3 linked regions of the Macaca mulatta genome follow. The protein of the gene in region 1 interacts with the protein of each later gene in a biochemical or structural test. Links are inferred from orthologs where the notes say so. Each region holds a gene or a part of one and is shown in the gene's direction. Other genes may lie near its edges.

The links.
Region 2: the proteins of MAD2L1 (region 1) and UBD form a complex in vitro, tested with the Homo sapiens proteins (2 studies listed by BioGRID). The link is inferred for Macaca mulatta from reciprocal best matches to the Homo sapiens genes MAD2L1 and UBD.
Region 3: the proteins of MAD2L1 (region 1) and REV3L form a complex in vitro, tested with the Homo sapiens proteins (2 studies listed by BioGRID). The link is inferred for Macaca mulatta from reciprocal best matches to the Homo sapiens genes MAD2L1 and REV3L.

What each region holds. Positions count from the first base shown.
Region 1 is NC_133410.1:128,907,377-128,911,129, reverse strand, and holds the start of MAD2L1 (mitotic spindle assembly checkpoint protein MAD2A), read left to right. Parts: upstream 1-1,556; 5' UTR 1,557-1,631; coding exon 1,632-1,704; intron 1,705-2,543; coding exon 2,544-2,690; intron 2,691-3,753. UniProt on the Homo sapiens protein: Component of the spindle-assembly checkpoint that prevents the onset of anaphase until all chromosomes are properly aligned at the metaphase plate.
Region 2 is NC_133409.1:153,782,365-153,786,117, forward strand, and holds the start of UBD (ubiquitin D), read left to right. Parts: upstream 1-1,392; 5' UTR 1,393-1,758; coding exon 1,759-1,785; intron 1,786-3,753. UniProt on the Homo sapiens protein: Ubiquitin-like protein modifier which can be covalently attached to target proteins and subsequently leads to their degradation by the 26S proteasome, in a NUB1-dependent manner.
Region 3 is NC_133409.1:16,441,667-16,445,319, reverse strand, and holds part of REV3L (DNA polymerase zeta catalytic subunit), read left to right. Parts: intron 1-3,287; coding exon 3,288-3,653. UniProt on the Homo sapiens protein: Catalytic subunit of the DNA polymerase zeta complex, an error-prone polymerase specialized in translesion DNA synthesis (TLS). Lacks an intrinsic 3'-5' exonuclease activity and thus has no proofreading function.

The sequences.
Region 1 (3,753 bases):
GAAAGGATTTAAGGAAAATTTACTGGGTCAAGTCAGCCTGCAACCTATCACACCCATCCCTTACTCTTCAAACTGATCAAAACATGATATACAACACTGTACAGGCAGAACTCTAAGCCAGTTCCCCACATTCCTGGCCCCTAGAGAGCACACCTACATAATCCCCTCCCCGGAGTCTGGGTAGGAAAACTACAAATATGAGCAGATATCACTTCTGGGACTAGGTTCATCAAAAGGGAGATGTGACTGGGTCTGACTTAATCAGGTGAGCCTTTAAAAGGGGCTGGGGTCTCCCCGAAATCACAGAGATGGGAAGTGTGAGAAGGCTTGTGGAAGGGCTAGCTGACAAACATAGCTGGCCTCTGGCCAACAGCTGGCGAGACAAAATGGACCTCAGTCCAACAACCCCAAGGAAATTCCGCCAGAGGGCTTAGAAGGACCCCAAACCTCAGATGAGATCCCACTTGCAGACCCTTCGATTTCAACCTTGTGTGACTGAGCAAAGCAGTCAACAATGCCACGTCCAGACTTCTGACCTACAGGACTGAGAAAACGAATAGGTGTTGTTTTGAAGTCACTGATGTGTGGTAATTCGTTATGCAGCAAACGGAAAACTAACAACACTCAAGTATTTCTCTTATAATGTCTGGCAGATATGAGAGTTTTTCAGGCGTCGTTTTACAAATATCTTCCTAGCTGCTTTAAGAATAAACTTCTTTCAAAATGGACATGAACATTAATTGTGCAATATGTCCTTAATAATTCTCACCCTTTTCAATGAAAAGTCATTGAGTTTGGTGAGTCAAGATTCATTGAAAAATTCTTCAATGTTGATGGGCCTCTTTGGTGAGGTGACCTTATTCCTGTCCTGCCCCCTAAGGGTGGGCAGGGTGGACAGAACGCAGCCTGGACTTCCGGATGCAGCCCCCTACCGCCCGACTTGCCTACCCCGCTGGCCTCGGAGGGGTGGCCCTAAGCCCAGGACAGACGTGGACAAAGGGCAGAAAAAAGGATGCAGTTCTCTTTAATCCCTAACCCAATTTCTCGGGAAAAGCCGCGCTCCCACACAGAAGGCGAACCCTCTAAAGCTGTGGGTTGGCTGCTGTGCACGTAGTCGCTTTAGGAATTCCCAAAGCATCTAGCGGAAGTTTAGATCTTTCACTAGGGGTCACATGGGCCAGTACGGGCGCAGCTGGCAAACCGTTCCTTTCAGTTTGAAAGTATCTTTGAAACTCGGAAACTGTGCTCCTTGGTCTTTCAGTTCATAAGCCTAGAGAGCGGCTACTGAAATTGGAATCGACATCTTCTTCCCTCGGCCCCAACTAGTAAACCACGACCAGAAGACACAGCCTAACCTAAACCTACCGGAGTGTCACAACCGGCAAGCGCGAGCAGGTCCACCAACTCCGCCTGCGCAAACCGGCCGTTCCCGCGAGATCGCAGGAAGGCGGAGAGAAAGGGCAGGGCCCCGCCGCGTGGGGCGGGGCTTAGAGGCTCGTCGCGCCTGCGCAGAGGACCGGACAACGCGCTGCGTCGTTACTTTTGAAACGCTTGGCGGGGAAGTGCTGTGGGAGCCGCTGTGGTTGCTGTCCGCCGAGTGCAAGTGCGTGCCTTTGTTTGTGTCCCTGGCCATGGCGCTGCAGCTCTCCCGGGAGCAGGGAATCACCCTGCGCGGGAGCGCTGAAATCGTGGCCGAGTTCTTCTGTAAGTCCTCGCGCCGGCCATTATATTGGGGGGAACTGAGTCGTGGCGGCTCAGTAGGCCCACAGCTCGGCCTCTGAGACCGGAGAAGTAATCTGGGAGCGGCGGCTGCAGGCTGTTCCTCCTGACGCGTTGCTATAACGTGGAGCTGCAAGCCTGCGTGCTGCTGGGGCCTACCTCGCGGCGTAGCCTCTTCCGGAGCGTTTCTTCCTTTAAGTGCAGATCCGTCCCACCTCCCACCCCTTACTTTCCGATACAGGACACAGCGTGACTGGGGTGGGTCCCAGTGTGGGTGTGTATGTGTGTGTTTTTTTTAACTGCGAGAGCACCCTCACCCTCCCACTCTAAGTGATTATTAGGCATGAGGCTGGCGGTAAACAAGATTTTGGGAACCCTTGTTCTCGAACAGGCCAGCTGCACGTTGTAAAGGAACCTGGCAGGATTTGGGAGGGAAAGGGGAAGATACAGGCTTGTCTGGAGCAAAGTGACTATTCAGTCAGTTGCTGACTCGAATGCAACAGCCTATTTTGACATCCTCTAGCCTCATAATCTGAATTTGGACTTGGATTACAATGAGGTGAAATTTGGCAATAGTAGGTTGATACACTTTGGCTTTTTTTTTCCTTGGCACGTGAAAACAATTATCTTTTTTTACTTAGATACAAGACTTTTAAGGATTTTTAATGCCACTTTGTACCTACTCTGCTTTCAGCAAGATACACGTGTGTTCAGTCATTTATAGCTGTATAGCCTAATGAAAATATAGCCACATCCAAATATATTTTATTTTCCAGAGTTATGCAGTGATAATGAATTTTCTGTAACATTTCTTTTGCTTGCAGCATTCGGCATCAACAGCATTTTATATCAGCGTGGCATATATCCATCTGAAACTTTTACTCGAGTGCAGAAATACGGACTCACCTTGCTTGTAACTACTGATCTTGAGCTCATAAAATACCTAAATAATGTGGTGGAACAACTAAAAGGTATTTAATCATTGGAAATAATTTGAGTCTTGCAGATTTTTTAGCATCTCAAGTGGTCATTTTTCCGCTCTGCAAATAGAAGTGTACTCACATCTCAAATATATTTTAAGTTGAGAGGAAGCAAATAATATATAAAATGGAAGAAATTCACTCTTCCCCCACTACATTGTGAGTGGGCTGAATATTTTGATGTAAGAAATCTGATATGGCTGAAAAATAGTCTTCATCAACTCCCTTAGAAGTGGCTTTCGCAGTTAATGTGGCCAAATGGAACAGGTTGGAATTTTACATAATTATAATGGTGTTCACTATCTGAGAAAATATACACTACATATTCTCAATATAATGTATTTTCTGTAACTAATTAGTTTTCTGTAGTCTAATGTTATCATTAGATTAATATCAAGGAAATTGGATTCAACCAGATAAACTTCAAAAAAAGAAAAAGATTAGCTGCTAAATGACAGAACACTCACAGTTTTTTTGTTTGTTTGTTTTGTTTTTCACATATTTCTGTTTGTCGTTTTCAAAAATTCTGCCGGTGATTCAGTAAGCCTTTTCTGTCTGAACGTTCGTTTTTCTTTAGTTCGAGAAATTGCTGTATTACCTGTCGGGTGAATACTTGTTCTTCATCTATTTCTTTTTCCTTTCTAGAATTCCTGTTAGTTTCTCTTTCTTGTTACCCTCCACTTAGGATTCTCATTTCTAATTTTTCAAATGTTTCTCCCATTTGATCTTCTAAAATTTTTGAAAGTACTACAGTGGGCATCTTTTTTTTTTTTTTTTTTTTTTTTAGAAATTATTTCTTTTGTTGTTGACCAGAAATGTGTCTTTGTTTTGCCGTTTTTATTGCATTTTTACTAACCTATTTTTAATATGCCCTTCCGATAATGGCCATGTGAACTTTTTTAGCTTGATAACTCTCTTTCAACCTATACTATCCTCTAGATAAACTGTTAACATTGCCTTGCCTTTTATGTGTACAGGAGTGGAATGCCTCAACAACCTGTGGATGTTACGTCTTAAATTGACAGGCAAGGGAAGATAGCCCTGTTGACATTTT
Region 2 (3,753 bases), on another chromosome or scaffold:
TTATCCTGCCTGTGTATTAAAAATTATGTCTACTCCACAAAATACATTTAAATAATAATTAATGTTTTCAATTTTATTAGCTATCTAATAAAAGCTTCATATAGAAGAACATGATTTATAGTAAGCTTTTGAAGTAGAGAAATGAGCTGTTGCATTTTATTACTCTACATCAATCCAGTACTTCTGTAAATTCGATTCTCCAGGACAGAACCTCCTAGAATAAGATGGGGTCATTTGCGATCTGTCAGTGAGTGAAGGTACAGTAAATGCCTCTGCAAACAGAGAAGATAACTTGGCATTTTAAAGAGCTTCCTACTTTGAAAAGATTTGAAGCACTTGAAAACATACTTTTAGGCTGGACACGTTGTCCCACATCTGTAATCCCAGCACTTTGGGAGGCCAAGGCGGGCAGGTTGCCTGAGATCAGGAGTTCGAGACCAGCTTGGACAGCATGGTGAAACCATGTCTCTACTAAAAATACAAAAATTAGCAGGTGCCTATTATCCCAGCTACTCGGGAAGCTGAGGCAGGAGAATCACTTGAAGTCTGGAGGCGGAGCTTGCAGTGAGCTGAGATCGCACCATTGCACTCCAGCCTGGGCAACAAAGTGAGACTCCATTTCAAAAAAAAAAAAAGCTTTTAAAAACTGGTTCCATAGCAATGCCCTGAGAGTTTGGGAGGGGGCAGTAGTTAATTTGGGATACGAGGAGGATCAGAGTGATGGAGTAAACTTCCCCGGGACAGGCACACCTTTCTTGTCTCCATCTAAGTCTCAAGGGTGAGGGAGAGAGAGCGGCACCTTTAGGTTTGTCTGAGATCACAGTGGTGAGGTGCATCCAGGAGTAAAGGTAGAGAAATAGAGGCCCCGCAGTGTGAGAGTGGATGTTGATTGCTTTGTGTGTTGAAGTGAGGAGTCAGCATTTAATTGTTGGCTTAGGATTGTTCTCAAGTAGTGGATTTGGTTTGCAGGTTCTGGGACAGGGTAGGACGTATGTTGGAGAGCTCAAGACCCAGAAATCCAATGTTATTTTGCAAAGGGAATTTTACAAGCAAAGTTTTCTGAGCCTGGAAGACACTTAGGAATCTTTTCCAGTCATCTCATTTTATAGACTGGGAAACCAACATCTAAGGAGATGAATGGATTTGCCCAAGGTAATGTAGCAAGTGGCCCTCCTGGGACTCTAACTCGTATCTCCTCTCAGTCTGAGGTTATTTCTCCTATGTCTTCTTAAGGCATGTTTTACACCTTCTGCCAGACTAGTCATGTCAGGCTCACAGTCACAGCACTCCACACAATGCTGACTGCCGTATCCTGCCTGGGTGCTCTCGTTCTTAGGACGGCCCCTGAGTAATGGGGTGCTCTTAAAGGCAGCATGAGAGGTTCAGCAAGCATTACAGGTCTTCACGCCAGTGAGGGCCCAGGCCACAGGACGGACAGTAATAAGTCAGAACTGGGAGAGGAGGAGTGGATTTTTAATCAGGGAAAAGTTTTCAACACAGAAAGACCATCCCTTTTGGAATGAGGATTGCAAATAGATTGCCTGAGGGGAGAAGTACGTAATCAGAAAGCATTCTTTGTTTATTAACTCCTGCCCAGCAAAAGTGAAAGAAAATTCATGGGAGCATGCAAGAACAAAGGGCACAGCAAAGCTGGACAAACACAGCAATCCAGGAGGGGATTTCCAATTCAACGCTGGTATATAAGCTGGAGTTAAAATCCTTTTTCTGTCTCTGGTTTCTGGCCCCTTGACTGCAAAGATGGCTCCCAATGCTTCCTGCCTCTCTGTAAGTTGGGATTTGATAAAGGGGATGGGGAAAGGAAAAGCACTTTCAAGAGTTGGGGAGAGATCTTAGAAACGGGGGATGGACAGTACTCAGGGCTCTGGGTGGCTGGGCAGGCATCCTTAAGGGGAAGAGGCTGGCATTGACATTTGCAGAATGGGAAGAGGGATTGTCTGAAGAGAAGCTGGTTATCTGGCTTCTGTGTTCTTTTTTTAATCAAACATTGGACTAGCTACTCTTAGGGATAAATGGTAGAAAAAAAAAGTGGGGGTGAGCTTTGTGTTCCACAGGGCTGGTGAGATTTGAAATTATGGAAACATTTTTTAGGGTTCTTAAACTTAATCTTCTCTTTCCTCTCAAAGGAGAGCTTCACAAAACTCATTTATCTGAAGTTGTTAATGATCTAACACATTACATTATATAAGAAAGTATGCACTATGGAGAGAACCTGGAATTAAGGCAATGCTTAACACAGATCCTCCAGTGAAGAAATGTCTGCAATATCTAGATTGGGAAAATATTTCTGAATGGAGTATGAGGGAGGTCTTCTCAGGCTTTCAAGTGGCCATTAGGAGTGAGTTTTCCAGTCTTTTAGGGTTTTCCAGCTATTGAAGTAAGACTTAGACATAGTCCCTACCTTCTGTGAGTGAGGCCTTGGTCTAATCAAAGGAGATCGTATTCTATATTAGATAGATATAAAAATACAAGAAATATAAATTAACAAGAAACATTGAACGTAGTGTCACTGTAATATGTAAGTTATTATTGTAAAGCAGTGGGAGATTAGAAAAAAAAATAACAGTTCAGTGATTATGTGCCCTACCCAGGATTTCCTTCTGAAGTATTGACAGAGGGTATCCTATTGCTGTATCTTATGAGGCTGTCATATTTTAGAAATTCTCTTTGACAGTTGTTTTTAGAGTCTGGTGTACATCTTTTGAAGCTCTGTATTTACTTTTTTGACATTTGACAAACTTTATCTGGATAGGAGAGGCAGGTAAATAAGGTGGAAAACCTTTAATTACATCTCGAGATGAATAAAGGTATGTTTTTTACATCTATTGAAATGCACAGAAAAGCGAAATAAAAAATTGTCAACTAAAAAAAATCACACAATTTATAAATTTAGAAAGGAGACTTCATTTCTTATGAAGGGTTATAGTCTGCAAGGTAGCCATTCTAACAAGCTGAGAAGCTCGGCTTCTGGTTGAAAACCAAAAGCAAGCTTTGTAGGAGGAAAGTGACACAGGAATTTATGCTGAAGGGGTTTGCTAAGTATACATATCCAATAGGTTATGGCAGAGGCAATGAATATTCATGAAGGGAGTCCTAATGCATGCATGTTGAATAAGCTTGCATGTTATATACCACCCATGGTCACTCTGAGGTGGAGACTTAACATTTAATTGCATTACAGTTAGGCCTTATACATGAAAAGGCGAAGCAGGGACACAAAGGCATTCAAATGTGCAGCTTCTGTAGACTAGCCAGAACCAGTCCATGGTCAGTGGTCTCTTATCAGGAGAAAATTACTGAAATCAGTCATTTGTCCAATTAAAACTGTAGTTATGGCTTGAGGAACAGGGGGTCAGTTAGCCTATGGATGAACTGTAATTGTTTTAATATTGTTCCTCTCGAGGCCAGTGCTTGTTTAGCTGCTACAGAAAAAAGAAAAATACTTTGTGGCAGTTAGAACATAGTTTATTCTTTAAGTGTAGGGATGCATGACTTAACTCTTGCCTATTATAGCCTTAGGTCTTGTTTAAAATTTGCTACAAAAATCTTATTGCCACCAATAATCCATTCTTTCAGTCTTATAATCTCTAACGTTGCTAGTCAGTTGTGTCTAAACTGCAAAAGGGAGAAGATATAATGAGGCATGTCCAGCCTCCTGTTTCATCATGACTGAGGTATTTTATTTATTTATCTTTTTGAGACAGAGTCTCACTCTGTTGCCCCAGCTGGAGTGCA
Region 3 (3,653 bases), on another chromosome or scaffold:
CTGTGTTCACACCACTGCATTCCAGCTTGGGCAATGGAAAGAGACTTTATCTCAAAAAAAAATCTCTTCAGGGAATTGATAGACAAACATGTGAGCACACGCACACATGCAGCAAATAGCAAAATAGAAATCACAGTAGTGGTTTATTTATCTGTAGTTGAGTAATTGTGTACCACTTTCATCGCCAAGTTAGGACATAACTGATAAAAGCTAAATTGGGTAACGTGGCTTAATCCAGAAAGTTTGAATGATGGTTCTTGTTCCTGCCCCTGTGTCCATGATCTCATATACTTAAACAGTTGCAGAGCAGGCAGTTCATTTCAACCATCCATTCAGAAGCAGAAGAGGATGGCTGGAACTGCTAAGGCAGGCCCTGCCTTAGTCTAAATCTTGGAAAGAGATATGAAGAGCAGCAGAGGCCACACTGCATGTATGCACTGACCTGTGGCAGCACCATCTTCCTGACTCCAGTGGAAAAAAAAAAAAAGAAAGATACAATATGAATATTACACATTTGTTGAAAGCCATAGAAAGTACCACACCAAGAACGAACCCAAATATAATCTATGGACTTTGGGCAATTACGATGTGTCAAAATAGGTTCATTGATTGTAACACGTGTACCACTGTGGTAGGAGATGGTGATAATGAGGGAGGGCATGTATGTGTGGGCACACAAGGAGTATATGGGAACCTCTGTACATTCCTTTCAATTTTGCTGTCAACCTAAAGCTGTTAAAATATCTTCAAAAAAATTTAAATTAAAAAAACACGACAGTGAATGCCAGGCTTTTACCCAGCAGATTCACAGTAATTCCTATAGGAATCCATTTAAAAAAGGGGTGAGAGTGTGAAATGATGGATATGTTAATTTGTTTCACGGTAAGAACCGTTTTACTATATACTATATCATATTTTATACCTTAAATATACATGATAAAAATTTATTTTTTTTAATAAAGGGGTGAGAAAATGTTATCAGAAATGTAGAATAAAAGTTCTCTCCTATAATGACTTGAAGTGAAGGGTAGAAATGTTCACCTCCCAGCCCCTTTTCAACACAGTTTTGTTTAGTACCCACATGGAACTCTTTATTTCACTGCTGGGGCATATGAAGTCTGTTCCTTAAACATTAGTTTCCATCATTTTGGGGACTTTGGTGTTATCAGTAGTGATTATGGTATATTTACTTTTAGTTACCAAACTATGTGCTAGTCATTATGTTTGTGTTGTTATTGTCCAACTTTGACACTTGTCCTACAGCTAAAATAAAAAATAATCATTTTTGAAAAATATTTTTTAAAATATGAAACTGTAGGCCGGGCACAGTGGCTCACGCCTGTAATCCCAGCACTCTGGGAGACCAAGGCAGGCGGATCACGAGGTCAGGAGATCGAGACCATCCTGACCAACATGGTGAAACCCCGTCTCTACTAAAAGTGCAAAAATTAGCTGACCATGGTGGCATGTGCCTGTAATCCCTACTCAAGAGACTGAGGCAGGAGAATCGCTTGAACAGAGAGTCAGAGGTTGCAGTGAGCTAAGATCACGCTCCTGCACTCCAGCCTGGTGACAGAGTAAGACTCTGTCTCAAAAAAAAAAGAAACTATATATTCAATATAGAAAATTTAGGTAGTATGAAAGAAGAAGAAATAAAAATTACACCATTTTTCCATATAGTAACAGCCACCATAATATTTTGATGTGTTTTCTGTTTTCTTTAAAAGTATAGTTTTTAGTTTGTTTTGTTTTGTGAAGTGTGATCTTATTGTAGTCACAGTATTATCCACATTTTTCACTTAACATTATATTGTAAACATTTTCCAAATGAGTTTCTTGAATATTTTAATCGCTGCATGTGTTGCATCATGTATATATTATTGGACAGAAAGATTGTTTGTGATTTTGCCACTATAGATAGTATGTATATTATTATGTATGTTAAGAAGATATTAGCATTTTCTTCTTAAAGCATTTCTTGTATTTTGGAGTTTGTCCTTATAGCCCTAGAAGTAGGATTACTGGAAAATATAAGACTCTTGTTACATATTAGGAGATTTTTTTTCCTAGTGAATTATAGCAATTACCATGCTGCTGACAGTACGTAAGAAAACTGAATTCACCACACCTCACCATTTTTTATTCTTGACCTCATTATGACTTCTCTATCCTTAGTATTAGAGTTGGGTATGGTCACTTGGTATGTGTATTCATTTCCTTCAACAGCATTAATTCTTCAACACCAATCATAATTCTGTTTCTGATTTTTCACATTGCCAAGAGTGGATGCAGGGACAGTGCTGGATGCTGGTTATGGAGTTAACTAGTAGGGGCTAAAGTCTTTTCATATAAAGGAGACAGGGTAGCCCTAATGCTTTTCCTTCAGCTTCAGATCTGAAAACATGAATCTAGTTAGTGGAGTTTTATGTAGAGAATGATGGGGACATTTGGGGAATCACACCCTAAGAGAAGTGATTGAAAAAACTATGAATTATCTTTATATCCATAATAAAGTTAACATGAAGAAGTAGAATTATTTTATGTTGCTGTAGTAAGCAGAAATAGTATCAAGGGATTAGAGAAAGAGGTTTTACTTAATATTTATAGCTTTTGGAAATGAAACCAGACTGTTTTCATTAGTGATTTCCCACATATTCATACATTGGTAACATTTAAGCCATGTATCCTGTGGGCTCTGCCATCTCCTAAGTTATGTCAATGTTAATCCCTACCATGGAATGGGAAGAAAGAATTAGATAATTTACCTCAGTTGGTATGTTTTTTTAATGTTTAAGGGATTTGAGAGTACGAAGATTCATTTGAATTGACTCGCTTTGCTAAACTACAAATACTGGAGAATATAGGAAGAAGCTATGAATAATATCCTAGGACATAGTATTTGAATGATAAATTACTTTATTGTTTTTATTCATATGTGGTAATAATGGAAAATTACTTTAATATTAGGAGAGGAAAGGAATCTGAAAAGTTTGTTTCATCTCCTTGAAGGACAGAAGGCTTCATTGGGCATTAAAATAAAACAAAAAATACCTTCTCTCCCTAAGATTAATGGTACCTTCCAAAGGAAATTAAGTAGTCATATACCTGTGAGGAAAAGCATATTGAGACTAAAGATAGAGTGTACCTACATAAAATAGAGGGGGCAGGGAAGATAGAAATGGACATTTTTGAGACTCCAAAAGGGACTTTATCTAGGATATGGAGTTAAATATTTTAGTAATTGCTCTTTGAAACAAAACAGTTGTTCTAAAATATGTTGTTTATAGGGAGATTGGTGGACGGCTCCTCATGGTAGAAACTCGACTTGCAAATGATCTGGCTGAGTTTGAGGGAGACTTTTCCTTGGAAGGACTTCGTCTTTGGAAAACAGCATTCTCAGCAATGACTCAGAATCCAAGGCCAGGGTCACCCCTTCGCAGTGGCCAAGGAGTTGTCAATAAAGGGTCAAGTAATAGCCCTAAGATGGTTGAAGATAAAAAAATTGTGATTATGCCTTGCAAATGTGCCCCAAGTCGACAACTGGTTCAAGTGTGGCTTCAAGCCAAAGAACAATATGAACGTTCCAAGAAACTGCCTAAAACCAAGCCAACTGGAGTTGTAAAATCTGCTGAGAACTTTAGCTCTTCAGTTAA